Linked DNA regions of Lepisosteus oculatus. The protein of the gene in region 2 purifies or fractionates together with the protein of the main gene of each other region. This does not show direct contact. Links are inferred from orthologs where the notes say so. Each region holds a gene or a part of one and is shown on either strand. Other genes may lie near its edges. The genes, in order: dcc and casp9.

Region 1 (16,543 bases), on a different chromosome or scaffold from region 2:
AGGGGAGTTCCCATTACCTGTAAAGTGCTTTGAGTGGAGTGTCCAGAAAAGTGTTATATAAGTGTAATCAATTACTATTATTATATAATCTACGTGTGATTTTAGTTCCCAACCACTGAGCTGCTGTTGAGACACAGGGTGTTTTATCAGTATACTTGAATTAAATCTCATATGAATACATCTGATTTGTAGAATTAGAACAACTGTTCATATTTCCACATGAAAATAAAAGTCTTTTAATTAAATGCCACATTTTGTAAAAATGACTGAGATACCCTATAGCTTGCGGGCAGATCATTTGAAATAAATCACAAAGCCACTGTATCTCTCTGCTTTGCTTTTGTGTGTGTTAAGCTTTTAAAACACCCCATAGTCTTCCACAGATGCACATAACAGAATGCTATTGTTCAGCAGAATGACACAAGAATTTGATTCAATGCATCTCTCATGTAACTGAATTTCAGTTTTGTTCCCCCAAAGCCTTTTCAGCAGAGCAGTCAGTTAGACCAATTAAAAAGAATAGGATAATGTTACAGAAATGGCAAACGACTAGCATCAAAAAGCTCCTTGTTACTTTGGCACTGTTGAACCTGCAGGTATACTGTATATGAGGGTTTATATTGTGATAGTTTTCTAATAGAGGATGGCATAAAACAAGCTAACTCCCAGTGCTAAACTGTAAATTCACAAGACCCCACAGTAAGCAGGATGCATTAAATCAGATTTAATCAGATTCTTAAAAGTACACTCAAGTGATAACATTTGTATCTCCCCTATAAAAACTGGAAAGTGATATTATTACATTGTGTTTTGTTTTCTACTCAATTGACTCCTTACATCTTAAGTACCTTACGTGTCCATAGGCAGAGTTCTCGAGTTCGGAGCTGTGCCAGTGTGTAGGCACACTTTATTAAGGAATATGTAGAGGCAGAATTAACAGTGAAAAGTATAAAGAAGAAAAAACAATGTTTCAGTTGTGTGGCTTTCTTGAAATGTGAGCTCCACTGCTAAAGCATTGTTTAAAATACTTTCTTTCTACTTTTCAGCATGGAAGCAACCTTGTTCTCCACACTGGCTCTAGTGGGCATAGGGTAAGATAATGTACTTAAGATCAAGCAATAGAGATATTTCATTTGGATATTATATGTTTTTGGATAGGTTTATGCAGATAGTAACATGTGCTTTATAGTTCCAAATGATGGGATAATCCTACAATGATAAAACAGGATAAAATGGGACACCACCAGAGCAACATGAATTGAGGCATATGAAGTTCCTATTCTCCATACAAATAGACAAAGACACTAAAATAGAATATACTGCATTATCAATATCAATTTCAAAGCCAATATTTTAGAGTCAGCAATTCTCCACATGCACAGAAGATTCGTCTACAATGATGTGTATAAAAGGAATCATATCTAAAAGGCAATTGCGCATATGGTGCCTGACATTTTTTTTCTGGATTCAGGATCATAAATATTAAGTGGCTTCACCACTTTTGCAGTTACAGTATGTCTGCATTCATCACTTGAGATGGGTGTCTTAGGTTACCTTACTTCAAGACTTCAAACTGAGAGTACACATAAACAACAGCATTTGAAATAAATGTCTGCTTTTAAATCATATGCTGTTGCTGTTGTTTTTCTCTTAAGATTGCACACCAGTGAAAGTGTACAAAATATCAAGTAGCATGTCCTGACATTGAAAGACATATTTATTTATTATATATTAAACTAATCAAAAGTCAGTTAATGTATTATTAACTGACTATATATTTTACTGATGTTCTCATTTCTGAATATACTATTGACTTATACAAAAAAATGTTGAAAAAAATCTAAGATCTGTTCCATATCCCTCTTTAAACTGTACTTAGTAAAGGTAAGACCTCTGTTAAAAGCAAACCATTATTTCACCAATATGAAAAAAACCTCAAACAGCCACACATAAAATAGAAGAAGTACATCAGTTTAATATCTACTTAAGAGGGAAGACATTGTAAGACACCACATAGAATGAAGTAAGGAAGGAATGGTTTAATTAAAGCCTTGATTTTCTTCAGTTGGTGTGAATTTTCAATAATTATGAACAGAGCTAAATTAGTTGAATGGCAAACTATTTTCATTTCACCTACAGCAGAGTACCCCGTATAAACAAGCATGTGGTTACTGCGCCCCGGTTTAAGAAACACAATTTCCTTTATATTTTTGGGAGTGGAGCATAGGAAAAATAATGCTGGAGTTTTGCAAATCTTTTCTTTTCTGAAGATTTAAGGAAAAGGTTAATTAACTATCTCAGTTAAAGAGTATGATTTACTTCGGTGTTTTCAGATGTAAGTGTAGCACTACTAGTGTATCTCTTTGTCCACCTATAGAGCAGCAGTAGCTACTCTGAGATACTCCCCATTTACCCACACACTTCTTTAGAATGTAGTATCTGTCAGTGGCAGCAGATCTGTATACCCTCAAGCCTTCTTCTTCTGAACACTGAGCATTTAGTTTTTATAATGAGTTAAGACCACCATATTTGCTACTTAAAAGCTTGCCTTAGTAATCAACCACACTGTCTATTCTCCTGACGTGTATTTTAATGAAATACGAGCAATATGGACAGCATGGTGACATGGAGGCTAGCATTGTTGCTTCACAGCTCCAGAGTCCTAAGATCATTTCAGTACCTACTGTATCTGTGCAGAACTTGCATTTTTCTCCCATGTGTCTTATTTGAGTTTTCTAGGGTTTGTCAGGTGCTCTGGTTTCCTCCCAACTCCCAAATCCATGCAAATTAAGTTTGATTAGCTTTCCAGGAGGGGATTTACAGAGATTCCACACTCAGGGGTGGTTTCCAATTAACAAATATTAGCTATGGGACTACAGTGAAAACCAAATGCCTTCTTTTTTTGTTACCCTTTGTAATGTTCTAAAATTATAACATAGTTTACAGAAACTGGATTAATTAGACAGCATTTACTTTCAGTACTTAAAGTAGAGAACAATGTTTTTGTTTATTTGGTGTGTTCATTACATTTGTCCTGTGCCACACCAATACACCCTGCTGAGTGGTTTCTCATTGTAATTTATACAGGCAGACATCTCATTAAAATGCAGTTGTTGAGTCAGTGATGAGCATCATTGGTCAGGTATCAACCCCGGTCTCATCAGACCACGCTGCTGTAAACTCATGACCTTCCTGGGGGAACCACACTGACATGCATCTCGTAACGGAAATACAGCCTCTGGAGATGCACCAGTGAATCCCATTGTGACTCTCCCAACTTTTAATGGGAGTCTCCTATCTAAGATGCTTGTTGTAGTCATGGTGTTCTTTTAAAAAAACAACATATTATCAACCAAGACCAGGACTTTTATTTTATTTACTTTGAAATGTATCTTTAAGGGGGATAGTGCAGGAAAGTGCATATACAGGTATCTAATGTTAATCAACTATGTAATCTGGCAGCAGGTAATCAATCACTGGTGCAAAAAATGATTAGGGTCCTAGGGTTCAGTTCAAGATTGGGCCTCACTGTATGGACTTTACTCACTGTTCTTCTGGGCTTTTGCCAGGTGCTCTGGGTTCCTCCTACATTTAAATTTGTTGTTTTTTGCATAAATATTGTCAAGATTGAGGTTAACAAAGCATACTGTGCTCCAGTTAAGTTTCTCACAGAGAGACAAATTCTAAAAAGTTCTTGGCATTGCAGATTATGCTGTTTTCTTGCTGCCATTACATAAGCAATAGAGCAAACGGCATTTTTTATAGATGTTTGTTTACAGTTTATAGCAATGTTTCTAGCGTAACAAAAAATCAGCAAAGCTTTGCATCAGTGCCGTGATTAAACATCACCTTCTCTTCAGCTGTATAAGAAAAGTAATACTTTCATTGGAAAACGTTTATTTCAAGTACTTTGGTGATGAACAATTCACTTGAGAACGCCGAACAGTAAAACCTGCATTCGTAAAGCCACTGCTCATTTGCCCCGTGAAATCGATATTGAATTATTGAGTTCGAAGTGAATGCTCTGATTTTGCTCATTCAAACGCAATCTAAAAAGAAATAAGGTGCTATGCTTTTTGTAATTGTATTTTATTATATTAAAGAACGCAAAAAAATGAGTGAGACAGAAAAAAAAGGGTAAGAGAGAACAGAGTAAAAAGTTAAAGAATAGACCATCAACTCAAAATGTACCTTTGTGGAAATAAATGCGAATACCATAGTGCGCTAATGGGGAGCAGCAGAATGTGCTTGAATTCGTCTGGACAAAATACCATTAAATAATAAAGGTTCACCGAACCCGTATACATTCACAAAATAAAGTTTTTATCTTTAAAAATGATAAAACTATACAATTATTTACAGACACGCTCCATGCATTACGTACTGTATGAGCCCCATGGGCTTCACTTACGCAGGGCAAGCAATGTAGGTTTGAAAATGGAGACAGCGAAAAGGAATTGATTTATACTGCACCACTCCGACTGTGTAGGACTGCCCCACTCAATACTCTCCGTAACCTTCCGTGTTCACCGCGGTTGTGTGAGCTGAGGATTTACAGAGACGTATGGCGCTGGTTTCACAACCTGGTGCATTTGGACAATACGTTTCCTTAATGGTTCTTCAATCTTTGTTTTAAGAGGTTGAAGAGAAAAGCTATGAATATAAGTCTGCTCAAAAAGTGATCTACACATACTGTACGGTATGAAGCACTGAGAATAAAAATGCATTTTTGCATTGGAAGTTTGAATTATTGTAATACTGCATGGTTACCACATATCGACAACATTGTAATAGTTAATATGATCATACAGTATGTACAGTAGAAACCGTACTTGTCTTCTTAGATATCCTTTTTATTCGCCGCTCACACACGTTTGCATGGGACGATTACAATGTTTCACTGATTTTTTAGATTCCCATGGCAGGCTTTTCAGCTTGAAACTTGCTACCACGTCTTGCTAATAATTCGCATGTTATAGTAAATGTCCCCCGCATCGAATAATTTTCGGCGCTCTAGCACTAGAGGAGAATACTAATATACCACATTCACCGTGACAGGTTGCGAGCGGATGTTTTATTGGTGCAGTTTACAATCAGCTATATTGAGGTTCACAAACTGCACGTTCCTCCTAAGAAGAGAGTATTAATCAAACTGTTAGGTGATTTATTTGTGGAACTCAATTCGGTCAAAAATGTAAACATTATGTGCACTTTATCTTTTAGCACGAACTCCGCGTCCTTCAACGCAAATCTAAAGCCATCTAAAAGTGCTTGCATTACAAACAGAACACTTACAGTTTATTGCATGTTGATACCAAGTATCAGCTAAATCATCATTATTATTAATAGTAATATGACCTAGGATGTGAAACAATAATAACGATGATTATAACGACACCCAAGACTACATGCTTAGTGAAGGTTCTAAGTAGTACTGTAATTCGTTCCAATCTCTTTAAATCAATTCATATCATTAACTAAAGCGCTATGACCCGCTCCGCGCACCTTAAGTATTACCTCTGAGAGATAAAAGTCAAATATTTAGTGTGTAGTGGTGTACATGAATTCTACAGGAGGAATTTCTTAGCATATCTTCATTCATATTCATTCTCGCCTTCTTAAAAGCTTTTATTCGATACAGGCAAGTGGCGATACTGCACTTCTAATGCATCCAAACAAAATTTAGCAGATAACTATGCCTAACAGCAACCTTATTACTGTAGGTACCATAAAAATAAACGAACCTAGAAACGTATAGATTAACTGATACCTAAAAGGTTCCGTGTATCACAGACACACCAGTATGTGAGACGTATTTACAGGTATGCACATTTTTCGACGGATTCTGAAAGGCTTTTGTTAATCACCGATACATTAAATGCTCTGTTATAGTTAGAATGCAATCCTAAATTAAGTTTATGATATACATTGCACAAAAGTGCATATGATTCTTATTAAAATTTAGCATACTGAAATGTATTCTTTGTTCAATGTAACTTTTCCAGTATAGTAATAGATTGCTACATAAAAATTGATGATTGATCATTGGAAAACCAATGGAAATAGTCATTAATTTTTATAATTTGACACAAATACATTTGGATTGCGGAATAAACAAAACAACTTATGTTCCACCCAGTGAATAAGTAGTTCAAGTTTGTGCAGATGAAACATCTTTGTAAAACAGGTTAAAAAAACATGACCAAACTACTTATCTCTGAATCTCATTAGTCCAATACTCTTCTTTTCGTGATTTAGAAACGGTCCACAGTAGTCAGACAAGAAGATACAAAATGAAAAGCGGCGATGAAAACAAAATCACGGAAGGTAATGAGAAACATTACTTCAAACTGAATTTATTTTTAAGGAATATCGCTTTCATTTTTTATCGGGGTCTACCCTACAATGTTCAACCATTCTCACAATTTTTACCATTCCAAATAAAACGCCAACCATGGTATAGTTTAGCTGCACTGCCCTGTAATTACTTACCCTGTCTTGTGGTTTTAAGGTGAAGTTACTTAAACATTAAACAAAATATTTTGTGCCATCCCTATGATTTTGAATGCAAAATCAAACTATCGACTTACCGTAAGACTTAGTGTCGCATCTGAGAAAAGATAACCACAGCAGCACAAAAAGAAGCTTTTTCAGCCCAATAAATCCAATAGTATTCTCCATATTTTCGCTTTACCGTTGAGCGGTTCTGTCCCACAATCACACAGATCCTTCTTCCAAACGCAGATTTCTCGAATTCAATTCATGAGCATCAGAAAGAAAGGAAAACCGACACCAAAAGCCAATGGATTTGAACAAGTCTACAGAAGTACGTTTCTCTCTCTGTGCACTTCCTCTGAGCACAGCCAAGTTTGAATCAGATGCGTGGCTGCTCCATCCTTGCGGTGTTCCACGAGCTGAGTAATAAAATACGCCAGACAGACCCAGGAAAGGACCGGCGAGGTTCACTTGTTACGGGAGCTGTCCACTAGCACTCTTTGAGCAGGGAGTTGCGAGATGTGAATCCATTGATCTAAAGGGGCTGGAGGTAAAGAACGGTGAAAACTCCAGCTGGAACGAACCGAAATGCAACGAAACACATGTATTGGGGGGGGGACAGACGATCTTTCAGCAGGCTTTGCGGGGAATCACTGAGCTCGCTTGCCATCTCTGGTCAGAATGTGAATTGTTAATGTGAGCCATATTCAATCAACGAAACAACCAGGCTGCATGCATCTTCCACCTTTCTGCAAGCTTTAGTTATCGGATTCTGTTAAGTGCACTGCCCCGGCATGTACAGTACAGTAGTGGCTGTATTGACGCTGGTGTTTTGACCTCAAATATAGTAATAATCACTTTATTAGCATTCTTTTTGGTGAATGTGTATTGTTCAGTGTAATATTCGGAATTATAATAAATTGCTTTAAGGATTAGCCAATAGTAAAATACTAGAGTATACTGTAAAAAATCACGAGATTAAATATACTACCGCTGTTGCTACAAATATATAAATATATCCTAAATTAAACTTGTTCTCGGGGATTCGAGCGCTGGAAAATAAGCACAGCATAATCCGTATTTGTACTATTTTTTAATGCGTTAAAGAGGCAATGTGACAAACTGTTAGACTAAAACTCCAACATTGTTCAAAGCCGTAAGATGGTCTGTTATTTTTGTTTTAAAAAGCGAACCTGTCTTTCTAAAACTACTACTGTTGTTGTTACTGCCCTATCGATAATATTATCAATAGTAATTTTCAGGGATCATTTTATGCAATTTAAGGAGATCTTATTTGATCTGAAATGTATATATTTTGCATTAGTATGAATGCGTGTTTTTATTAATTTGTGTACTGTGTCATTTACGTTTTGAACTGTCATAAGTTTAAACTTTTACTACTAGTGGCTGGTTATAAAGTCTTTCTGGGTTAAATTCTTAAGATTTGATTGCAGTGCTTTATTTTGCCAAAGTAGGACAAAATAAGCAACAGACCACTACATCTTCGTCTTTCAAAAAATCGTTAAGTTATCGTTCTTATCGATGAAACCTGTTGCAAACATTTTTCTATGATAATGTCTACATGATAAATTTGAAACTTGAATTACCAGAGGTGTGAGAAACAGCTTTAGGAATTACAATTAATGAACGGTACATACGTACCTGTTACAAAAACTACCCATTATACAGTAGATTTAAATCAAGAAAATAAAATATTACAATTAAATACATGTGAACAGCTAAAACTTTGACTGGATGCCAATTGTTTTAAAAAAACGTCGTGTTTGGTGAACACGCACAGAAAAAAATATATATTTATACAGTATGTAGCAATTTGGTTCAGTGGACTGAGCACGTTCGAGAAGTGACGTCATCTTCCATGAAAACCTAGACAGTGTCGAATTCCCTATCTATGGCGCATTGTGTGCTGGGGTCCTGGGTTCAATTCTGGAACTTGGGTGTTGTCTGCGTAGAGTTTGTATGTTCTCCCTGTTTTGTGTGGGTGCCTTCCTGGCGCTCTGGTCTCCTCTCATAGTCCAAAAACATATTGGCAGGTTACTTGGCTTCTGGGAAAATTCGTCCTAGTCTGGCTAGTTTTTGTATGTGTGTGACCTGCAATGGACTGGCGTCCTGTCCAGGGTGTAACCCACCTTGCAGCATTTGCTTGCATTAATAGGCTCTAGTTCTCCCGCATCCCTGTATTAGATAAAGCAGCAAGAAAATCGACTGAGTGCAGAAGACCTGGTCTTTAAGTACAATTTGTTTATTTCTGTGACAAAAAAACAATTGTACACTTACATGAATATCATGAAATGCTAGTTATAGTAAATTGCAAGTAACTGCTTGCCAGAACAATTATTGTATATTCATTATACAAGTATGGTAAATAAAAAAGAAAAACAAACAGACATGTTAAGGCAAATAAATCAGTGTAAGTAACCATGCTTAATTTATTATGGCTTGCTGAGTTTGGCTTAATATAAAGTCTTTGAATATTTCTGTCCTTTCTTACTAAGACTATACTGGATGTTTTAACTTAAACTTGCCAAAACACTGTAGTGTGCTCTCTGAAGACACCACTTCTGTAGGGTTTCTGCATTTACTGGGACAATTATTAATTGTAGCAGTAAATCACAAAATGATTCTTTTGATGGCCTTAGAATCCAACCATGCGATATAACTCAAACAACGCACACACACAGGTACTAATACACGAGGATACATTAATTAATACATATAATATGCATGTAAACTTAACAGATCTTATCGAGAGGGTTATCAGAATACAAAAGGTATATATTCAGTCAGTTACGAAGTGTTACATATATCAAGAGGACATACGTTCAGTACATCATTCATTTAGACCGTTTGGTAAATGAACTTGGTTATAACTTCTACATTAGATACTCAAAACAAGTACATAACTCTTAGGAATTAAATTGATATCAACTGGTTGGGATAACAATTTAATTCTCAAGCTGTAATGCATTGAAGTTGAATACTCATCCAATCTCTGGGGATTCAGATCTCCTGCGGGCACAAAGAAACAGTTTCAGACTGATGCTGTCCAATCCGCGCTCTCTGGCTCGGTGCCAGGCTGTGCTGTGTGGCTTGTGACAGTGCGCTGCTGATGCCCACTGACCGGCTAGTTAGTGTTGGCTTTAACTAGCAAAGTTTGCGCACAGGAGAAAAGATTACTGTGGGTCCCAGCAAGTCAGGAAGAGGACCGGTTCGTTCCTGATGAAGAGCTAGTTCTGAATAGTGATTCAGCTGTCCACAGTTCTGACCTGTTCACGAGGCCTGCTGCTGGTGCTAACCTCGGGTGGATCCTCTGGTTACTCTCTGGCAACCTCCGCTCTAGACTCTTAGAACAAAGGAAAGGCCTGGCACTCGGACACACTGGCCGTTCCGTGGTTGTCCGGGCTGAGTCTCAGGATGGTCAGGAGGCACGCTGCGAGAATGTCCTGCCCTTGGGAGCCTTCTGCTCCTGGGCCGTCCTGCCCTGGAATTCTCCTTTGAATTCCCTTTAGAAAAGTCCACAGAATAGTCTCTCAGGCCCTCTGTGTTGCCTGTTTTTACCTGGAGGAACTTCAGCTCGTTCATTGGCTGAAAGTTTCATGGGCATCAGAGTCTCACGTGGGTTACTCAGCCCTACCAGTCCCAGACTGGTTGATCAAGGTGAGATATGAGTCACTTACTCCTGAAACTTAGGAATGCAGTCCAGATGTCCATCTGGCACTCCCTAGACAAATAGGCGCCAATGGATGACCATTGATCATGATAGCCAGGCTTAGCTAAGTGCATTCCTATTTGGGAGCTATCCCTTATCAAAAGAAAACATCTTTAAATCAGCCTGCATGAATAGTTTCTTTGTGGCTGCACCACAGAGATGAACAGAGAGATGAGGCCTCATTTGGGAAAGCACAGCAACACTTAATTCTGTCTTATTAACAAGCATTGCCGCTACAACACTCAAGCAGATATATGATTCAATCTAAACAAAATGCCAGGATCGGTGGACTCTTATTAAGATTTAGTTTGACATGTTTTTTGTTTGCTCATTTTTTGAGCTGTGAGAGCTGTGTCAGTGGGCATTGGCTTCAAAGGAACAAGAAAAGGTTAATTTTTGCACGAGAAAAAGAAGAAATGTGTTCGTAGTTAAGCCTTCTTTCCAGTGTCACACCTGTTTTTCTGAAAAAGAAGTCAAACTTTTATTTTGCAAATCAGTACCACAGTTGTCCAAATTGTCATAACAAATCCCCCTTTTCACTTTATCATGACACTGTGTTATATAAGTTGATTATAATTACCGTATGTCTTAAAAGTCAACTCATGAATCAGCCACAGGAATTGTCAGCAGCACTGAAGAGTGGGTGATGATGGTAGTGTATAAACTGGAGAGTTATACAGTAGGTTCCTGTCCAGGGAGAAATTCAACTGTTGCTTCTTTAGGCAAGTGTTAATTCTCTGTGGATTGAACTCCAATTCTTTATTAGAAAAACACCATATTAAATACAGTAATAATAAAAAATAAATGAAAATACAAAGCATGTAACCACAGTTCATCCATAGCCATAGGTAATGATGTAATAGTCCTGTCGTTAAATTTGGGGTTCTGGGTATACACACTATGTCTGGAGTCAAACTACTAACTACAGTCTACTGTAATATAATATACAATCATACAATATAAGCACAAACAGATCTGGGCAAAACAATGAATGACTCCTTTCTGAGTCAATGCTCCAGGTCAGAAGCAAGAGAACATAATTACATTGAACTGATCTTTCATACAAACATAAACACGATAGGTGGGAAAGGGGGACTTGGGTAAATTTGACCACAGTGTATATGAGTTAATTTTTGGAGGGACATTATAAAATCTCAATTTCAGAAAAGTTTATTTTAAGGGAATGAGACAGTGTTTAAGAGAAGGAGATCGGGGTTGAATTAGTTCGGGAAACATTATTATTGGAGGTACATTACAAATCACACTTAAGAATTACATACTGTAACACACACTGCTGTTAAAGCTTAAGCAAACAATACAATATCCATACATACTGTATATGGTCATAAATTAGTTAACTAAATTGCCATATAATTGATTGTTAGTACATCACTGACTACAAGGTTATTATCTCTGTATCCATGTTCCCTTTGTATATTGGGGGTTATAAGGGGCTTATACATGGATTTTCAGTCGTTTATGCATAATATAGTCTTATTTAGAATAAGTAGACGAAAGATGCATACATTTTAAAAACATATTTGAAGGCACAAAACTGTTGGACTAAATAGATAAATGGAACAATCAGAACAAAATGTGTACAAAATAAATCGTTTTAGACAATAAGGAGTGGTAAATAACTCTGAATAATTATTTTGAACTATTACTCAACAATACTGTAGAAAAAATACAATTTAGTTTAAAATCTCAGAATAACAGAGGATGAAGTGTTTGATCTATAAGAAGTTAAAACAAATCATCTAGGCCAGATGGTATTTTCTCACTTGTACCTAAGTTATTCATAGGCAACTAACTACAAGATTTCATTTATTCTCAGTGCAGGGGTTGTGCCTACAGCCTGCTAATTGGAAAATCTCTAATGTGTTCTTTAAAAACAAAACAGCACAAAATTCAGCAAAGAAATTTCAGACAAACAATCTTACTTTGATAACATCTTAAGATAGAAAAAAAATAACACAGGTTAATTCTCAAAATAAAAGTTGTGTGAATCCAAGATAATCTACAACCAAGGGTTAAAGAACTATGACATATTCAAAATCTATACTGCTGATATGGGCATTCATGAACCCAAATAGAAATGATACTTATGAACATTTTTATGACAGAAAACAGAAGGAGTGTTTTTGTAGGACCTACTGTGACTTATATTATTCAGATACCAGAAACCAAATGAGAAAAATGAGCTTGAAAGGCTTCTTCTTGTTTGAAAACCTTTTCTGAATTTCATATTCACCATACTGAGCTTCAGTGAAGATTCCAGGTGAACTAACAGGTTTCAGAGAGGAGCTGCTGTGTCTCATATGTGACACTGAAGAGTCAGAGTGGGGAAAAGTAATTTCACACACTAGTGTACCAGCAAAGATGTAACTACGAAACACAATCAGAAAATAAAATATTATAAAATCCACTTGGTATAAATTACTTCCAGGTGAGCTTTAAACTTCAATACAGTATACTAAAATTCAGTATATCATAAAACACAAGTACTACTGTACATCAAAACTAACACTTAAAGCCCATAAAACATTCTTTCTGCTTATAATGATTATTGAAATTATTGTAGTCTGCAAAGTCAAGACTCTCACATGCCCAAACCTAGTAAGTAGTGTTCAAATAACTCAAAGGATGATGAATATTCTCTACTTGAATCACTGAAACTTTAAAGAAGATAACCCTGCATTTTCATAAAGATACGCAATTTCAGTTCATTCAGTGAAGACTGAAGGAAAGCAAACCGTGATACATACAGCGCAAGCAAGTTCACGCTGCTTTAAAAGTTGGCAAAAGTTATGCATTGTTGATAATGAGATTAGTTTGTGAATCCAGCTAACCCCTCATTCTATCTGAGAAAACAGACGAGTTCATTTTCATATCACAGGTCAAGAGATATGGTTTCAGAATACACAAACAGACTGAACTGTTTTCCAAGAACTAGAAAAATTGAAAACGTTGAAAAAATATGATTGCAGCTTTGTTTATCTGAGCTCCTGCAATATTCAACAGCTGAAGAAAATGAACTACCACATACTATCTTTTCCACTGGAAGACAAGTTTTTCCCAAATGAATGCTTTTGTTTCTGACCCTAGTTGCATTACTTCTCCATTGTTATTTGAACCAAATGGAAAAATCTAGTCTCCACATTCTTTGTCCTACATTATAGAATGAACATTATTATTCCTAACTCCCTTCTGCTTCTACATATCCTTCAGACATTTGTTGTATGCATTATAAATGTCTATATCTCTCCTTAAGAGTAGTACGCTTGTATTAGATGATTCTTGTTTCAGTAAACATCATGTCACGATCAGAATCCCTCCTCTTAAGGACGCTCTGGCTCTTTCGTATTTTAGTTGACTACATGCACCTGCCTCCTGTTCTGTCTCCTTATTTAAATCTGGACTTTGGACTGCACCCCCGGATCTTCCCTTGGACTGTTTGAACTTGTTTACCATCGCCATGCCCCCCGAGTACTGGATCACCACCGTCATGCACCCCTGTCTGTTAACCCATCCTGATCCTCTTCGTTTCCATCCCTAATGTCCTTCTCCACTTACTTACAGATTATACCATCTGCATAGGGCCCTGAACTACACATCAAGCAACAAAACAAGCATGATAAAGCAAATGCTCTATTTAGTCTATTTTCTTTTTACAGTAAAAACTTTTTATAGGTACAAGAAGACTGAAGTTCACTAGATTATGAACCAGAACTACTGAAGAATGAATCTTGTCAAGATTTTATTTTTCCTGATTATTGAGTGCATCAGAAATGACCAATGTTAGCAGAATCAAAATGTGAGAATCCAGTGCATCAGTCATGCCTTTCCTGGTGACTACTTTCTGATAGGAATGTTACAGAATATGTACTGAATATAAGACAAAAATCGTCTAGTCTGTTTAGTGAACACCTTCAACATTTTAAATATCAAAATTTCCATTAAACATAACTTTTGACCAATATTTACCTAGGAAATTCATAGCCTGTGGTCAGATTGTTCCTTTTTTAAGACCTTGATAGTATTTGTCTTATAGCAATACATACTGTACAATGGATCATTGAAAATATTGAAGAAAAATAACTTCAGAAAAACATGTCACTTATCTGTTTTCTAGTTTAAATTACTTACTGTAAATGATTTAAGTGACAAGCAACACAAAAGTTCTAGCATGAAAATATTTTTTCCTCTAGCACCTAAATGACCCCTTTTTGCTTAAGATGCTATTAGAATGCTTTTATAAGTAGCGCTGAAGCGTAATTCTCCTTTTTGTTGTTATCTGAAAAGTTAATGTTGTCCATAAAGAGACTTAGAAACAGGCATAGATTATATTTGAGATATAAAGCCTTCCAATAATGAGGAAAGGCAATGCATGATTATTCTGCTTTTGCACAGACGATTTTGACTCCATTAATGACCAAATTCAGACAAATCAAAAGAAATATTATTTGTTACAATGAGGGCTGGATATTTTCCAATTTCTATATCATTAGCAAGCACAACTTATGAATAGCTTCTAATATACAGTATGTTCCACAAGGAAGCTAATCTACTGATCCTGTTGCCATTGTTACATCTTTTTAAGCAACGAAACAATATTCATGTTTTTAAGCATTTTCACTTACTGGTAGTCTAATTAAGTCAGGTTACCACAGATCAAATTTAGACAATCATTGTGTTGTCTAGCACACTATGGAGTACATAAAGGAGAGGATAATAAAAACAAAAAGAGATAATTAACTAATTGATGTAAATTGCATGATTATCAGGCTGAAAATTAGCTGAAGGACGAAACCCAAATTAGAGATGATGTCAATGAGGTTATGTAGTCCTAGAATTCTGTGTTTGCTTTTTTGTGTGTTATGTTGGAGAACAATCAACAGAATGGGTACATACAGTACATGTTTTATTTTATATTGTGAGATCACTGTCAATAGGTTGAACTACTTAACAGATGCGCTAAATGTTTGCATTAATTCCTGTTGAATTTCTGGGAAATAGTATGCTTTCTTCCGGGAGACAATTTAATGCACTTTCATGTTAAAGCTATTACTATTACTATTAGACTGCTATTATATTTTACATGTCACCTTGTGCATCTGCAGAAATAACATACATTACAACCAAACTGAAATAGTGTGGCCTTCCTGGCTCCATCTTTTCTTTACATACTAGTTTTACAGACCTATGTACAGTATATATATATAGAATGAAGTGGGTTTTCTTTCTTAAATACTCCACTCCCAGAAAAAAAGAATAATCACACTTGTCATAACAAATGTTCTTTTGCCATTTCTTTTAATAAATGATAATAACACCTGCAAGATAAAATAAGGTTTCAGTGAATTTTGTTTTACGAGTACCAGTTATTGTTTTCTGGTAAGGAAGGCAGAAAATAATCTTATACAAATTACAGAGGAAAGTTCAATAAACCTAAAATAATGCAGGTTTACATTTAATTTAAAATCACCTCTAAATTTACAGAATCATTGAAAAGTATCTCATGTAGCTCAGTAATATTACAGTCCATTTTTTTCATAGACAGAAATAAAAGTTCTTTAGCATTAAGTTATATGTTTTTACAACAGAAAAACTAAATTTATATTTTAAGTAAAAAACTGCATGATTTTACAAAGCTGAGAATATATATGAGCAGTGCACACAAATGTTAGAAAATAACTGACATTTCACAGACTTCTATTGTATGTGGATCGAAATGATTCTTATATATACTGGTTTGTTAAAGTAGAGACTTTGTCCCCATTAAAAGGGAACACATTTGAAATTCATATTATGTCTTATTATATTGCCATTTCAATTTACTGGCACCTTTAAGGCACTTGTGGAAAAAAAACGATGACAACCATCAAAGCTAATGGATGAAATCATCCGCACATAAGCACAGCCAACACTTCTCTTCCAAGACAGGTGAAAGCCTGTCAAGATCTCGTCTCTTCTGAAGTCTGGTTTGATCCTATCTAGCTGAGATCTTTCCAACCTTTAAATTGAAATGGTATCCACACAGGGATATCTTTTAATCCTAACCCAGACCCGGCACAAGAACCTTTCAGAGGTTAAAATCTCCTCTGTGAAATAATCTTCATTTGAATGTCTCTTGAGATAAGGAAGACACTGCATTGCTCTCAGGACGTTTGAAAAAACAGGGAAAGAAAATTACTATATTAATAATAATAATAATAATAATAATAATAATAATTGCTTATACTTATATAGCGCTTTTCTCGACAATCCATTCAAAAGGCTTTACAGGTAATGGGGATCCCCTCCACCACCACCAAT
Region 2 (17,417 bases):
AGCAAATCGCTGCTGGATGACATGGGCATGGCATCGGTCTGGTCATCCAAGCCACCTGATGAAGGCCCAAATCCCTCTGAGACCTCAAATCCCGTGTCCTTTTCATCTGCAAGAATAAGGCAGATATTTTTCCTCTATTTGATTACCCAGAAAGTTAGATTTCCTGTATACAACAGAGCTGCCAGGCAGTTCAGTACAATATCTACTTCTCAATCTTTTCCTCATGGTGTTCCGATTTTGCATACAGAGGACCACACGATTCCGACCCTTCGCTCAAAGGAGGTAACCAGCACTTGCCTCCTCCACAGGCCTGGATAAAGAAAAGCTTCGGTTTCCCCTGCAGAGTCGGACAGTTCTGCCCGTTCAAATAATTGGTAATGTTCTGAACAGCAACGATGGGGCCGTCGACGCCGTGGACAGCGCCAGGAAAGCGACAGTGGCTTGCCTGCAGAACACAATTAACACATTCAGAGGGTTTCCATGCAGTCAGCCACCGGTGCAGGGAAAGCTGTCTTTGCTGGGAGCGTTATTGAACACAATGAAAGGCTTTATTTATAAAACACGAAGATCCCCACTCCATTTTGTGTGCTAGCTTAATGTTCTGCCTGTAGTGTGTGATCAAAAGTCACTCCTTCCCTTATTTTTCAACACAAGGAAAGATGGCCCATGGCTGGTGTCACATCCCAGTGTCCTCTTTCCTTTTTTAAGTGCTGTGATTCTGGTGGCATCCTTTGCCTATGTCACAGGGAGGGCAGGAGGGGTCCTTTTAAAACAGAATGATGACTCAGCCACAACTGCACTTAGGTGAGGTGCAAAAGTGATGTTTATTAGGACAGTGCTCCTCACAAACAATTATATATTGCAAAAAATCCCCAACAAAATGGAACTAGTACACCCACAAAAAATGAACCCTTTCTCTAAGAAATAGAGACCAGGAGTCCTACCACGCCTAGGTCCTATCAGCTCTCCACTGAAGCTATAGCAAGACAAAACTCCTGTTAGATCTCCCCCCCCTCCTAAATAGATACCGTATAGCCCTGCCCCCTCAGACTGTACCACTGTTACATAACTATGGAGCTGCATTTCCCCCAAGGTAAACTCATTTCCCAACATGGCAATGGTAAAATAAGTGTTTACATGTCAAACCTTACTAGTGCTGCTAATGCTGAAAATAATCAGTTTAAATAATAAATACATTTCACACATCTAGCTAACATTTTGTTTTGGAAACTTTTGACACTCTCAAATTGCAAACTGGTTATTTTCTTCAGCGGATGGACAAAGCAGGTGAATTGCGTCACCTACAATTCTCGGGAAACACCCCGTCTTCACTCCCTTTAAAGGTGCTAGTTACCTCAGATCCATGCGACAGAATGACCACCACACAGCAGTCATAACTTGAATGGTCCTTTTTTGACAAAGCAGTCAGCTCTTGTCTGATTTGCTGTATGGGAACAAGAGAATACTTTAATCACTCGCTCTAGGTGAGATGAGAAGAATGTAGGTTTAAAAAAAATGGGTATACATCAGGTAAGGATATCATCTCTTCAAATTCTGCATTGTTTTGCACTGCAAATCATTGACATTTGGGGTGAAACGGAACAGGTCTGTTGAAAAAGTAATTATTCAAAAGGAAAGGAGGATGGAGGGGTCCTACCACTCTGCTGTTGCTCGTTGCTTTTTAGGTACCGCGCAGGAGGAATTTGTTCAGTCATGAGCCACTCAAAAACACGCTGTTTTTTTTTTAATAAACACGCAATAATAAACAATGACCCCAAACGCTACAGGGGGCCCTAGCTCTGTTGGTAGAGTGTGAGACTCATAATCTCAGGGTAGTGGGTTCATGTCCCACGTCGGGCGGCAGGTAATCCATGTTGGAGGTTGGGCACAAGGCTAACAACCCTGTCCCGTAAAAAACTAATGTTTCGGAAACAAACATCCACCCATCCCAGATGCTACATAGGCTATCCATGCAGCAGGATTTTTTGCTAAAACTGTCAATACAGTTGGCTATATGCAAGCCTTCTCAATTTACCTTCGATTTTAGGTTTCTCTTGACAGTGACAACAAAGTTAAAGGCCTTGAATCTTTTCTCCAGTCTGTCACAGTCAATATCGGATCCTGTGCGATTGTTTAATCCAGACTGACGCTCAAAATCCACATTGTTGATGATGAGGCAGTGCCCACACGGGTTGTGATCCATCTTGTACACCTGAAACCACGCATGAGAGGGTGTATTTATCTTACAGTACATACTGAAGGCATAACACATTCAGATGAAAAAAGTCGCACTGATGGTAATATATGAGTTTCACATAGGTACAAGGACCTTCATCTGAAAGTCTCAAGAAATCTTAAGCCTTACTTCATCAGTTGCCTCAGTTGGCTGAAGGCAGCTTTGGTTTGTTTGCCTTCTGATCTCTTTTTGTTTCCTGATTTTTTTTATTGAGTGTCCATATCTCACCGTGGATGAATAAACTCTGATGCCTTTCAGTAATTTTAGATTACCAAGGCTATTAAAGCAGCTGACAAAGACTGCCTTTAAAGTCTGTAGATTGAGAACAGCCGGTGTCATACCTCTATGCTGTATTCTGTACCAGTACACCTTTTGCATAGAATGAGCATGAACTATAGTACCAATACAAGATGGCGCAGTAACGTCCTTATAAATGAATACTGGAGCACAGGATACTGAAGAATTTCAGTGAAACTGTCTTGCCTTACCAAATTGAAACAGATTTGGAAACAGGTCTGAATTTTTTTTTTATATACAGCATTCTCTCAAAATTGTCTTCCAAAAGTGCAGGTGTACTGTCAGATCAACAGAAAAAAATAGGTGGAAATGTCCCAGAAATTGGCTGGATACTTCTCAACATCTTTTCTCGCACACAAAATACTCTGACAACTCACTCAGCTTTTAAAGGTGTTTCATTGAAATGACTTTGACACCTTTCTCATTTAGAGGCTTTCTGCGCTTTGTGATGATTGTCAATTGGTCAAATGTTTTGGGAAGCTGAACGGTTTAAAATATGAATAAGTAACACAAAACAATTGATCTAAACTATAAATAGGGTATTTTATCACAGTATCGCAATATATCACAACGAACAGACAAGCAAACAACCATAACCCCGGTGTAAATAATTAGTATTTCAGTGGTTTGGTCTAATTACCTGGAGGCTGTTGCTTCTTGGTCTCCCTTGTGGTTTGGGATCAAGTTCATCCTTTTGAGATGCTAAGGCAAGAGATAAGCCTTTATTAATTACATTCTGAAACAACAAAGACCCTCAGCTTGATATTATTATCACCCTATTTAAAGGTGTTTTGGGTGGTGGTTTAGATACCACAGTTTTTTTAAATTAGGGGTGTGAATACAGGAGCACAAGAAGGTTCAGTGTCCTGAGGTTTCCAGGAAAGTCAACTTACAGTACAAAGCTAGCACTGCACAGATGTCCCAGACATACTTATAGACTGTGATTTCATAGAAGGACCAGGCAAGCAGGGCTGTGTGTTTGATTGCTGAGGTCTCGACCCAGTTTATCCGTGCTGGTAGACCTCCAGTGGGATAAATCCTGATGGCAGAAACTGTAACTATAGAGGTGGGAACAGCATCTTCCACAAGGCTGAGCTCTCTGTGTGCTGTTGCCCCCATTTCTTGTCATATTTTTAAAATATCATCTGTGCAGCAGATCTTTTTATCAACCCAGAAAATGCCCAGAAACAACTGTGATGGAAGATATAAGATGTGAAAAAAGGGTTAACTGATTTCTTTCTGCACAAAGACTTCTTTTGGTACAAGACATTCCATGCTTAAGCACTTCTGAGTTATGGCAGGGATGGGAGTGAACTGATAAGAGATTCCAAGTGCGAGGTAGAGACTCCCTAACTCTGGGAAGATAAGACTGGCCATTCAAAGTGTTTAAGGTCTTGGGAAAGTCCTAACACAGGTGACCTCCCCCCATTACCATGGTAACAATTTGCGTCAGAAACAGCTGAAGTTTGCTACATAAAATGGAGCTTTGTACCTATATCTTCGAACAATTCTTTGATCTTATTGTTCCTTGCATGCAATTAACTCAGTTGTTCAACTTCATCTCGGGGTCCAGAACTTATCTGTCTGTTACAACACAACTAACACATAATGCTACTCTTAGGATACTATTTATGTCTTTGCATCTTAGTGCAGTGCTGAAGAGTTATTTACAGCACTTCCAATCACACAACAAGTGTGTGCATAGTTTCTTCAAGTGATTCTAAGTACTACAATGTATGTTACCATGACATTTACAGCATCTAGGTAGGTCCAAAGACAGGTCGGTACTATATACAATGTATACAAACACAGTGATGGAGCTAGGGTCTTCGGTACCACCTGTAATGTCACTGAAGACCCTAACAGAAAATCAATTAATTCCCCCCAAAGAGGTGGATATTGGAGCTTAACAGTTGTGTGGTGTAAAAAGCTTCATCTGCAAAAAAACATCACAGCAGAAGCCTTACTTTCTCCAGATATTCACTGAAAGAAGTGAAATGTCCTGGAAAAAACAGAATATTTCAGCTGTCAGAGGATTGTGTATGCGACAATATCTCCCTTGAAAAACTTGATCACTGAAAGCTGTTTTGTCTCTTCAGATGAGAGGTGTCTAATCCTGGCCCTGGCGGACTGGTGTGTCTATACCCTAGGTCTTCTAAGTGTCATTAAAACTGCAGCACCCAAAGAGATGGCTGATAAATCTATTAAATTGGTCCAATTAAGACAGTCATGAGCTCGTTAGGATACACTGGCCCACCAGGACCAGGGTTAGACAGCTCCTCAGCTAGATAGAATGTAATAATAATAATAATAATAATAATAATAATAATAATAATAATAGCTTACACTTATATAGCGCTTTTCTGGACATTCCACTCAAAGCTAGTTACAGGTAATGGGGATCCCCTCCACCACCACCAGTGTGCAGCCCCACCTGGATGATGCGACGGCAGCCATAGTGCGCCAGAACGCTCCCCACACACCAGCTCTCAGTGGGGAGGAGAGCAGAGTAATGTAGCCAATTCATAGATGGGGATTATTAGGAGGCCATGATTGGTAAGGGCCAATGGGAAATTTGGCCAGGACACCAGGGTTACACCCCTACTCTTTTCGAGAAACGCCCTGGGATTTTTAATGACCACAGGGAGTCAGGACCTCGTTTTTACGTCTCATCCGAAGGACGGCGCCTGTTTACAGTATAGTGTCTCCGTCACTATACTGGGGCATTAGGACCCACATGGACCGCAGGGTGAGCGCCCCCTGCTGGCCCCACTAACACCTCTTCCAATGTAGCACATCTTGCATGCTCAGTACATGGTAATCTTTGATGAACCTTTAAAAGGTTAATTGAAGTAAATAACAGTAAACCTGGCTCTACTCCAAAATGTGCTTTGAGTAAAAAATAAATTAGTTGCTGATTTAGTTAACGGAAAAAAAACTTTGTATTTTTAGAGCAATTTAACACTTGCTACAATTAAATTAAAAAAAGGGATCTGCAGTTCTATAGTTGAAGCAGCTTTATAACCTTATAAACTTTATAACTTTTCCTAGTAGAAAGAGAGCACCTTTCCATCAGTATATCATAACACCGTAGAACATTTCTTACGATAGCTGGTTGTCATATAGTTTTCGTTATCTGGGCTGTGTGTAGGCCTGTCTTGATGATAGGGTATGTCTCCTCTATCGGGTATCTCTTTGTTTCCATCGGGATCTGTTGAATAAAACACCAGACACGTTACAGTACGTGGCACTTTTTCTTAATATAATAATAATAATAATAATACCTTACACTTATATAGCACTTTTCTGGACACTCCACTCAAAGTGCTTTAGAGGTAAGGGGGATCCCCTCCACCACCACCAGTGTGCAGCCCCACCTGGATGATGCGACGGCAGCCATAGTGCGCCAGAACGCTCACCACACATCAGCTATCAGTGGGGGAGGAGAGCAGAGTAATGTAGACAATTCATAGAGGGGGATTATTAGGAGGCCATGATTGGTAAGGGCCAGGGGGAAATCTGGCCAGGATGCCGGGGTTACACCCATACTCTTTTCAAGAAACGCCCTGGGATTTTTAATGACCACAGAGAGTCAGGACCTCAGTTTTACATCTCATCCGAAGGACGGCGCCTGTTTACAGTATAGTGACAGGGGCATTAGGACCCACACAAGCTGCTGTTGTCCCCACTGACATCTCTTCCAGCAGAAACCTTAAGTCTTTTCCAGGAGGTCTCCCATCCAGGTACTGACCAGGCTCACACCTGCTGAGCTTCAGTGGGCTGTCAGCTGTGAGTCGCAGGGTGATATGGCTGCTGGCAATATTAAAACAAAGAAGAACTAAACAGAACGAGCGACAAATCATAGAAATACTGGACTTGGCACGTACACTTTAGGACAGGGATGGGAACAGGCTGGACCGGGACAGGTGGAGGTGGCTGAATCTTGACCCCCTTCTGCAAGGCGTCCGCCAGGTGACCCTGCCCGGACTCCTGAAGGCACTCCAGGAAGGCTGGGAAGGCCCGGCTGCCTCGGGTCTCCAGATCTCTCACCAGCTGCCGGGCCTGGTCTCGACGCGTGCCGGCACTCTGCGGGGGACACGAGAGAGAACAGCAGCTCCTTCACTACAGGCCCCCGGGCTGCAGGCCTGCGTCACACTTCTGATCACAGTGACATGGAGGAGACTCCCATTCAGTTGCAGTTTGAGCTGTTTCAGATTTGATCAGTCTTTCATGTAAAAACCAAAACCTAGTGCTGAAAGTTTCCTGCTTGTTCTGTGGAGGACATTTATCAGACAGAATGTGGACCAACTATTGTATTAAATTACACATGCCTGGAATTTTAAAAAGCTGAAACATTTCCAACTTGGTGCTATCATAATAATAATAATAATAATAATAATAATAATAATAATAATAATAACATCACTTTATTAAGCCTTTACAATTTCTTGAATTAGGAATGTGTCTTTTCACAGACACACAGACAGGGAGAGAAGCTTGGGGTCAGAGCGCAGGGTCAGCCATTGTACAGCGCCCCTTGAGCAGGTGAGGTTAAGGGCCTTGCTCAGGGGCCCAACAGAGTAGGATTCCTCTGCCTGCAGCGGGATTTGAACCAGCAACCCTCCAGCCACAGGCACAGATCCTGAGCCACAGAGCCACCACTCCACCCATGTTGTCCTAATAAGACCTAGGACTGTGAAAGGGTGTGTTCTTCTTCCAAAAGAAGCGCAACCTTTAGCTGGTCTTAAGAGTCACAGTCTTTTGGGTATCCCTGTCAGTAGCAATGACTAAAGCAAGGAACTGGGCACTTACACAGCTATAGTGCACTGATCAGGTTCAATCGAGGTGACATGGGTCTATACTTATTAGTTTGTTCTGCCTGTTTATTGAGGAACCTACCAAAAAGGATTAGAGAACTGCCTTTCAGGCTATTGTTTTTTTTTGTTAGGCAACATGTCTCAACTGTTATTCCACTACTGACTATATATATTTGAGATTACATTCCAGGGATCTACACATCTTGTCTTGGAGATCTTGCATCTCCTATTTCTAATAATAATGACCTTTATATGGGTCAGCACCTTTCAATATAATTTTCAAACAAAGAGAGATTGTGGCTCTTCAAGACTATTTGTGCAGATCTCTGGAATATTATTACAAAAACATTTATATACTGTATAGCCAGTAATGACATGCTTTTAGACCCTTTGCTATACTCTGATTGTCCTCAATCAATTAATTACTTACTTTTATTTAAAGCTACTATGGAAACCAGCAGGACAGTGGCTGCTCTATGACAGAGGTTGCAGATTCCTGTTAGTTACTGTATGACCCTCTGTAACAATAGAACACATTCCTCCAGAGAGTACATAAATTAAGGTGCATATGAAGAAAACACTGTGAAAACTGTAAAATAAGGAGATGACACTGATTATTTAATCCAATGTATTGGTTATTGCCAATATCTCAAGGATACGTTCCCAGCAGTGTTGGAATTATTTTATAACCGAGGCACCTCAAAATGTGGTTGTGAATGGGCCAGTTGAGTGTGTTAAAGGCCTACCTGTATTTCATCAATCATGTCTTGAGTGAAGACGCCCTTTGACAGAAGTCCATCATACAGTTTTGAGGGATCCAACTGCTGTACAAGCATGGATCGATTACTCTGTAATATCTTCTTGTGCCTGCCATCCATTCTGCAAACAAGAGCCCGAGGGGGCGGATTAAGACTCTTAACCTGTTAACGTGAGCTCAGTTCAGCCTAAACTGGACGTCGAACACTAACTACATCCTAACCGAAACGAAAGCGAAATGCCGAAATCAGGAATTTAGTTGTTCAAGTTAGGAAATTCCATCATGCAATCGTATACGAAAAGAAAAGTAACAGACTAAGGGGCGTTTCACCGAAGCTACAGTAGCCAAGCACCTTTAACCCCACTTAAGCATATTAAAACGTTCTTTACATTTTCCTAAGTTCTTCCGTAATAATTCTTGCCGTCTTCCAAAAGCATCCTTTATTTTCTTCCGTGTTTGCATGGCTGAACCACGCCCAGTGCGTAATGACGTCATCACGCCGGTTGACCGGAAGCGTTTTGATTAAAAAAACGTAGTCGTGCAATTCGGATGCTTGTAGTAAATTGCCGGTGTTTTGATTTTTTGCAGTGACCCGTGAGCGAATTTTGATAGAAAACAGAAGAAGGGACGAGGGTGCGTAACGGCATGGTGATCAGGACCGACTGAGCCAGCGATTTGCTTGTGGTGCGTTTGCAAGGTTTGACAACTGCTCCGGGGAATAAGTAGTTTTATTTTCTATTTTGGGTTAAATGCATTTCTTCGGTTTAGTGCGTTATAGAGCTGTCGGTCATACCATAAAAATGCTGTTTTTATTTTGTCGTCTGAAGGTCGTAATGTGAATATCCCAAGCAGTCACTCGTCCGGTGTTGTAATCGAGGGCTACGAAAACAGAAAACCGCAATTCCCAAATGCTTACTTTCGCCAGTGGTACCGTCGTTTACTTTAAACGTCTTTTTAAATCGTGTGCTTTTATTTTTTGTGTTGTGCGGAATCACGTTTTAGTTTTGTCTAAGTTGAAAACTATGTTAATGTCCTGACATTGTGAAACTGTATCGGTAGTTCAGTGTTACATTGCCTACTGTCCCTAGAAAGAAGTGTATTTCAAGGTATTGAAATGTATTTGATTACACTTTGTAAATGGTTTGGAGTCTTTTAAACCACGGGAGATCTTGTGTTCAGTTCAGCAGAGTTTTCTGTCCTGTAAGGTCGTGCGTTTTGGGCTGTTATTATTATAAATATGGTGAGGCATTAAACTATTACGTTTTATAATTTCTAGTCGTACGGAATGTATGGTAAAATCGTCAGGTCAAATTAGACAACCTTTTTATTTGTATGTACATTTTTCTTGTTTATAAATATCCTCTCATCACATATTAAAATGAACGGGATTTTAAATTCGAATCAAGCTAACCAATCAACACATGGGGGACTACCGTCTTTGAAGTCTAATATTAAAAACGCTAGGTTTCATAGCAGTTCATATTGCAGGGGACTTTGCTTTTTTCCACCAAAAAGCCACCCAACCTTAAACATAAGAGTTGAGTTGAACACTCAAAAACGAGTTCCCCAAAACTTCCCAGAAAAGCAGGAATTAAGCATTAAAGCAAACCATAACAGTTGAAGTTGATCAGTGATCACTGCTGAACGTGTCAGAACTGATCCAGTTTTGCCATAAGGAATGGGTTGAATATTCCCATTCCATGACATGGTTGGAGAGTTTTTCTCCTTGTGCTTCGGATAATCCAGTCATCCCAGAGATGCAGTGGCTAGGTAAATTGGCATCTCAAAATGTCCCTGTGTGCTTGTGTCTCTCTGTCCCATGCTGGACTGCTGTCTCATCCAAGGCGTGGGTCTGTCTTTCACCCTGGGCGTCTGTGACTGGATCTGGTGTTCTCAGGAAGAGGTGGCTGTTGACAGAGGATAGAGGGATGCATCAAATCAGACTCTCTCTCTTTCCCTTGTGTTTTCAGCCACAAGAAGATGACCTGGTTAAAGGGGGTTTTCCTGACCCTGCTGTTTATTCTGTCTCTCTGCCTGCTGCTGTTCAGTCCTTCTGTGGAGAGTGCTGCTGAATTTGATCCTTATAAGGTTCTGGGGGTCTCCAGGAGCACCAGTCAGGCTGAAATCAAGAAGGTGTATAAACGCCTGGCCAAAGAATGGTGAGAAGCAGATAGAATCAGAATTCCTGCTTATTTAAATTCGCTCATATCTTCGACCAATGTATAGTACCAATGGTAAAATACAGACTCCCTATTTAATGAGAGAGAGGTTTTTTTTGCCTGAGGTCCCTTCCATCAAATAGAAATACACCCTTGTTGTGTCAGTTTTGGCAGGTTGTTCAGCTTTGATTCCTTTCATGTCCCTGTGGAGAGCCACAGAAAGCCACAGAGCCTCTTGCAGTTGTTGGGCTCTGAACAGAACAGATCGGTCCTTTCCTTCTGCTGACGCTGAACTGCCCAGTAAACTTTGACATGGGGCACTCCAGTTGGCAGGAGTCAGATTCTTGGAGAATTTGCAGCAGCCGATTTAGATCTTGAAAGACAGGTGATTGGGCTTCTTAAAAGTATTATGAACAAACAGATGAGAGCCCGGGGCCACTGTGACTCACAGCTGTCCATCCTATCTCTCTAAAGCCTGGACTTTCTATCCACTGCCTGGATGACAGACGTCTGCAGTCTGCTAAAGCATATTCCTGTAGGATCTAACGTTTGTGTGGCTGGAGGTTTTATTGTAGAGCTGCTGTCACTACTTACAGATGTAATGTCAGTTACAGATTACAAGTATCTAGCAGTTATCGCTGTGTCTGAAACCTGAAATGTACCTGATTGGCTACCTAAATATTAAAAAATACCACATATAAAATCTTCATAAGTGCACATGTTGCAGTGTCGAGAGAGTGGCAGACTTTAGCCAGATATAAAAAAATGGGTATTTTGTGTGACACCAATTTAATAAGATAATTTCAAGGAGAGTATCCAAGAGTAAGTCTGAAATATATTCTGCTGCTGCGGTCACAGTGATTAAATTGCACTGTGACAGTTCTGTCTTTCAAAGACTCCTCAGTGGGAAATTGTGGCTTGAGTATGGCTTTTCTCACATTCCTAATACTTTTGGTTAAAGGAAGTCTTTAATGTGTCATTACAAGTACGTCCACAATAAACCTCAGTACAACTTATTTTTTTTTATTTTCCTTCAAGGCATCCAGATAAGAATAAAAACCCAGAGGCAGAGGATAAGTTTATCAAGATCACAAAGTCCTATGAGGTAATCCCCTTTAACATTTTCTCTCTTGATGACTTTTGAGTGGAAGTTAAAATAAGCTGTCTGACAAAACTAAATCTAAACTACCGGATATAAGATTGCATCTTCCTTATAGCTACAGGTAGTGTAGTGGCATTTGAGTTTTTGGATAATTGGGTGAATTTGGATATTGATTAAATGTAGTCAATACACTTTAAATACACTTTAAGCCAGTGGTACTGTTTTTCTATGTAGTTGTAGCCCTGGAATCCCAGATATTATGAACCTGGTTCATTCAGTGCGGTGGCATAGCTGTCTTGGTGCAACTCTAGCAGAAGAATCGGGTTCACGTCAGATGTTCTTGGGTTTGCTAAAGGTAGTCTTTATTGTAAGTTTTATTTTGAAATATTATGGGAATAATGTGAATGGAATTGGTTTAAAATAAATGGTGACCAAGGAAGCACTTAGTGATTGTTCTCAATACATTTAAAATAATGTGGAAAGTCGATTATAGTGATGGGAAGTAGTACATTGATAGCCTGGAATCTCCAATGAGCTGAGGGAAGACATCCCTGATTAGTGGCCCTTGAACAAGCGGACAAGAACACGTGCTGCTTGTTAACAGCCACGTTGATGGCTTTTAACCACAGTGATATGGTTCATGTAATAGGAATTGCATACAAAGTCAACCATATTAATGAGCCTTGATCTTATGCACAAATGATCTAAAATGCACTATAGATATTCCCATCCAGGTGAACACCAAGACGTCTTTTCAGTGTCCAGTGAAAGAGTACTGGGGCAAAGGCAATGCCTGTAACCCCATGTGTAATGTGGTGAACATTATTAGACGCGATGCACCTTTTAATTAAACCGGAGTAAGAACATGTCAGCATACAGTTTACCGAAGCAATTCAAAGGACCAGGTCAAGGAAAATGTCTTGTATTTTAGAGCAGGAATGCTTCGTCATGTCATGTTAGCCTTTAGCTCAGTTTTCAACACATTGTTCGAACGAAGGTAGCCCCACTACTGAAAGTCGGCGCGTTTCCTCGCATTCACCCTTTTCTGACAGATCCCCAAAGAAATAGAACAGATAGACGATGTTTAAAAGGCATCGTTGAACACCTGTGCCAAGTGGCGCCCATGCCTTTCGATCTCTTCCCAGATTCTCTCCAACGAAGAGAAAAGGGCGAACTACGACCGCTTTGGGCAAACGGACGAGAACCAGCCCTACGCCCAGCAGCGACAGCAGTTCCGCCACTTCCACGACAGCTTCTACTTCGACGAGTCCTTCTTCCAGTTCCCTTTCAACAAAGGCAGCAGGGACTTTGCCGACAGCAAGTACGCGCTGCACTACACGCAGTACATAAACGACATCGTGCCGGACAGCTTCAAGCGGCCGTACCTCATCAAGATCACCTCGGACTGGTGCTTCACCTGCATCCACATCGAGCCGGTCTGGAAGGAGACCGTGCAGGAGCTGGAGGCGCTGGGTAAGTTTGAACCCACAAAAAGCATTCCTCTCCTGGGTCCCCCCCCCAAGGATGTGTATTGTCTCCTTTACTCTTGGTTCTTCTCGCAAACCATCACAAGAGCTCTCACCACTCGAGACACGGAATCAGATTGGCAGACGACTCTGTCAGTGATCGCCTGCTGCAGGCAAGCGAGTGGAGTCGCGAACCCATCGTTGATGAGTTTGCCACCTGGTGTGAACAGAACGTCCTCAAGCTAAATGTGTCCAAGACCAAAGACATGATAACTGACTTCAGGAAAAGTACCCCCACTCCCACCCTGACCTACATCGGGGGAGATTCAGGGGAGCTGGTAGAACAATACAAGTATTTGTGGACTGTCCTGGACTCCAAGCTTAATTTCGAAGCCAATACTGACCTGATCCTCAGTAAAGGTCAACAACGTCTTTTTTTCCTGCGGAAGCTTAAGTACTTTAAGGTCGATGATTCATTGTTGATTTCATCTGCTGGTTTGGCGACCTGAAATTGAGAAGCAGGAACAAACTGGGCAGCCTGGTGAAAATATGCCAGAAGGTCATTGGTGCTGATCTTCCAGCTCTCTCCTCCATCTATCATTCACGTGGTTTGCGTAAAGCAAAATCTGTGACGATCCTTCACACCCCTTGTTTAATAACTTCCTGTTACTCCCATCAGAACGCAGATACCGACTCCCCAACTCCAAAACCAACAGATTCAAGTTCTTGTTCATACCTGTAGCCATATCGTTACTTAACACTTGACCTTCTAGGTAAATATGTATGGATATTGTTGTTCCTGTCGTTTTGTTTTTTCCTTCTCTCCATCTGTACGTCAACACTGCTGCTGTAAAACAATTTGCCCCCCCCCGGGGATAATAAAGACTCTCTCCAAATCGGGGGGGAGGCCAACCAAAGTCATTGACGTCTAAAATAGTCGCCTGATGAAAAGGAACCTGCTAACCATGCTGGTGGGTCACATGGGGTCATTGCTTCCTTACTGCAGGTGTGGGGATTGGCGTAGTAGATGTCGGTTATGAGCAGCGTCTGGCCAACCACTTGGGGGCACACCGTACCCCATCCATCTTGGGGCTCATCAACGGGAAAGTCACCTTCTTCCACTATGCCGTGGTCAGGGAGCATCTGAGGCAGTTTGTGGAGAACTTGTTGCCGCAGAGACTGGTAGAGAAGGTACGTGCAGCAAGAGCATACAGATTCTAGACCGATTGGTTGCACATCTTGGAACAAAAAGTAGAAGTTATGGTTACAGCTGACTGAAGAAGAACACTAAGCTCCAACCAGTAGTGTCATCTCGGAAAATGACGTTTCCCTGTTTAAAGCCTCTTTCTAAGAATTGTGTTTTATATATGTGTAGTATGCCTCCTTCTATGATGTCTAGATCTTCATCTTCTGTGCTGATGTTTTTGACTCTCTGCTTGTAGGTAACAGGTAAAAATTACCTCCAGTTCCTGAATGGCTGGTATGAAGAGAACAAGCCCCATGTGCTGTTGTTTGATCAAGTACCTGTGGTGCCTTTATTGTACAAGGTAAATAATGTGTTTTATGTAGTAATCATAGCTCTAAACATCATGAGATGAAATAGTATAAGTGGGACTGTCCAAATTTCCAGACTGAATTGCAACAACCTGATGTTCAGTGAGGAAGTGTGTTGGTGTGGCAAACACACTCTGCATTTCAGTACCTGGAGGATGCGTTCAAGCAGCTGGTCTGTGGTTTCTCTTTAAATTGTCTATACGAGATCAAGCCATCTAGACAAACCAGAGACAGCAGAGTGGGGTTGATCAGCCCTGTTAAAACGCTGGGAGACCACCCTCTCACTGTATGTTGTGTAAAGTCTGACTGTTTCTTAGCAAAACAAAAAATGATAGGCCTTTATATAAAGTCATCCTTGTGTTGTTTTATGTGCAACTTCAAAATCCTTCCCCGGGCTGTTGAGTATTGATTTGTGTGTTCCTAGTGCTAACTACTGATGACATGGCCTTCTTAAAATAAAACATGAGTGAGGCACTGTTTGTTTTCAGGTTGCTGCAATTCAAGACTTTGCCTGGATGGCAAAGTGATTGGTTTCCTTTCTGACACCTGCTTTTCACCCACAGCTCACGGCGTTTGCCTACAAGGACTTTGTCCGCTTTGGATATGTGGACCAAGGCCTGTCTGAGACTGAGAGCTTGCTCAGACAGTTCAACATCAACAGCTACGCCCCCACCATGCTCCTCTTCAAGGAGAACATTGAGAAACCAGCCGATGTCATTCAGGTACGTTTTGTATTTGTATTGCCACCACAATCTAGAGTCTGGATATTAGCTGGTGCTAATTCACGCCTGATACATGAGAGTGTTGGGAAATCTGACCAGTGAAGTCAATGTACTTTCACCCATAGAGAAAGCTAGAAAGACTTATTTTTATTTTTGAATGCCTTTATCTCCAAATAATGTCCTGTAGGATCTGTCAGCTGTCAGAGGTTATTGGTATGAATAACAAGATATTGATATCATATTGTTCATATGTAATTAATTTATTGTATGTTATAAGTTATTATTACATATACGGTAATTGATATAATTATTCATATCAATAATATGGTATTATCGATGAATAGCACCCTTTGGAGGATGGACACCCTCCCTTTCTAGGTTCAGTTGTATTCGGGAGGAAACGTACCTAGTCTTTTGCTCACTGTATGAGGCTTGCTTTTGTTAGACTGGGTGGCCTTGTAACTTGTGGGAGGACCAGCCCTGGCTAATCAGCAAAGTACAGTATATAGAAAAGAAATCATGTAGAAAACATGGAGTAAGATTAAGTCTAATAGCACTGCGTTAATTCCTACTGTCTGTGTGGAGTTGGTATGTCCCTCATGTATTTGTGTGGGTTTCTGGTTTCCACCCACAGTCCAAAGACATGCTTCTGGGATAACTGGCTTCTTTAAACATCATCCCTGGTGTGAGTGTGTTTGTGTCTGTGTGTCCTGCGATGGACTGGCGTCTTGTCCAGGGTGCATCCTGCTTGCCTGGTTAGGCTCTGGTTCCCCCTGTGACCTTGCATTGGATTAGAAAATGGATGGATGGATTTTGTTTAATAACTCTAATAGTTGCAAGGACTGTTAATATTTACTGCATGCGTTATTTCTAATGGCAAAGTCTACAAATGACCTAATAAAAAAGTCACATTATCCTCTGAAATCCTTGACTATTTGCTGAAATGGCTGGCTACATTCACTGTCAGAACTGTCAGTGTGGATTAGGAAAAAAGCCGGCAAGGGTTTGAAAAACGTATTGACCTGATCTCTCTCTGCTGTTAAGGACAGCAGAAGAGGGACAGGATGAGAGACGTGTTGTTTTCTAACATCTCCGATTCTGTCATCAAGTCATCTCAGCAAGACTAGTGCAGATGCACAAGCAGTAAATTACTTGTACGTTGTTGTCTATAAGGACCGTGCAAAGTATGTCATGTTTAAGGGTATCACCTAGTTTGAAAATATATTGTGTCATATATTAATTCTCCACTTGCTGTTTGTGCTTGCCAGTATTATTGACTTCCTGCTTTCTGTTTTCCATCAGCTCAGACCAAGCAGGCCCCTGTCAGCAGGTGTTTCATTTCCCACCTAATTATTCTTCACACTGAAAAGTTTTGCAAATTTTAATCTTGTCTTCTCTCATCTGTGTTTCCTGTCTGCCAGGCTAGAGGGATGAAGAAACAAATCATCGAGGAATTCATCTCGAACAACAGATTTCTCCTGGTTCCTCGACTGGTGAACCAGAAGCTGTTTGACGAGCTCTGTCCTGTGAAGCAGTTCCACAGACGGAGAAAGTAAGTATCACCTTTATTAGCTTTAAAGCATTCACAAGGCCAAGAGTTTGTTAAATGTCTGGTAAATGAAAAAAAAAACAAAACAGAGTTGATAAAGTTTCTTATTTGCTATGCAAAAGTGATGCTGTTATCTCACAGCCATTCAAGGTTTTAACTTATACAAGCTTATTCCATGATGATTATGATGATGAACAGAGATGGAAAGATTTAAAACTTTTTAATTGTCTAAAATTATTGTGACCCTTTAATTTTAAATGTGTTCTGCTTTTTGCATTTTAATTTAGGAGCATCTTCACAGTTTCTTTTTATTTTCATAGATGTAAATTTTGGTACCATAAGTCAGCTGTTATTCTGTGCTTTGATGCCAACATTCTGCTTAAAATGAAGTTGTGAATCACTGCCCCCCTTCTTGTTTAGGACTTTATCAAGCAACTCAATTACTATGCACTGGTTTTCAGTCAGATCGGGTTTTTTAAATGATTAAAGATAGTAAAAGTATTACTTTTTATAAAAGATGCAAATACCTGATTTGGTATGCTTGGTGCGTAATTCCAAAGTTTGTTTGGAAAGAATTCCTTATCCTACGAAGAGACATTTGCTAAAAAAAATAGAATTTGTCTATGCAGAGCTTAATAATATTATAGTGTTGAATGTATTTGCACACTGATGTGGCAGATAAACGGTGCCTTTTGTTTATTTAGGTCACGATGCATGCTGTTTTAATAAAAACAGGTTAAACGCCGGGCTCAATTGAT

The links.
Region 1: the proteins of casp9 (region 2) and dcc purify together in Homo sapiens (co-immunoprecipitation; 3 studies listed by BioGRID and IntAct, with this or other methods). This does not show direct contact. The link is inferred for Lepisosteus oculatus from reciprocal best matches to the Homo sapiens genes CASP9 and DCC.

What each region holds. Positions count from the first base shown.
Region 1 is NC_090698.1:64,868,458-64,885,000, reverse strand, and holds the start of dcc (netrin receptor DCC), read right to left. Parts: upstream 7,050-16,543; 5' UTR 6,682-7,049; coding exon 6,591-6,681; intron 1-6,590. UniProt on the Homo sapiens protein: Receptor for netrin required for axon guidance. Mediates axon attraction of neuronal growth cones in the developing nervous system upon ligand binding. Its association with UNC5 proteins may trigger signaling for axon repulsion.
Region 2 is NC_090720.1:10,958,519-10,975,935, reverse strand, and holds the start of casp9 (caspase-9), read right to left. Parts: upstream 8,577-17,417; 5' UTR 8,497-8,576; exon of another isoform or gene 8,230-8,496; 5' UTR 8,229-8,229; coding exon 8,097-8,228; intron 6,620-8,096; coding exon 6,421-6,619; intron 5,745-6,420; coding exon 5,640-5,744; intron 3,236-5,639; coding exon 3,174-3,235; intron 2,213-3,173; coding exon 2,036-2,212; intron 1,445-2,035; coding exon 1,355-1,444; intron 446-1,354; coding exon 298-445; intron 107-297; coding exon 1-106. Other genes in the region: dnajc16 (dnaJ homolog subfamily C member 16), read left to right, coding at 10,088-10,266, 11,305-11,371, 12,514-12,841, 13,841-14,025, 14,277-14,381, 14,952-15,110, 16,532-16,662. UniProt on the Homo sapiens protein: Involved in the activation cascade of caspases responsible for apoptosis execution. Binding of caspase-9 to Apaf-1 leads to activation of the protease which then cleaves and activates effector caspases caspase-3 (CASP3) or caspase-7 (CASP7).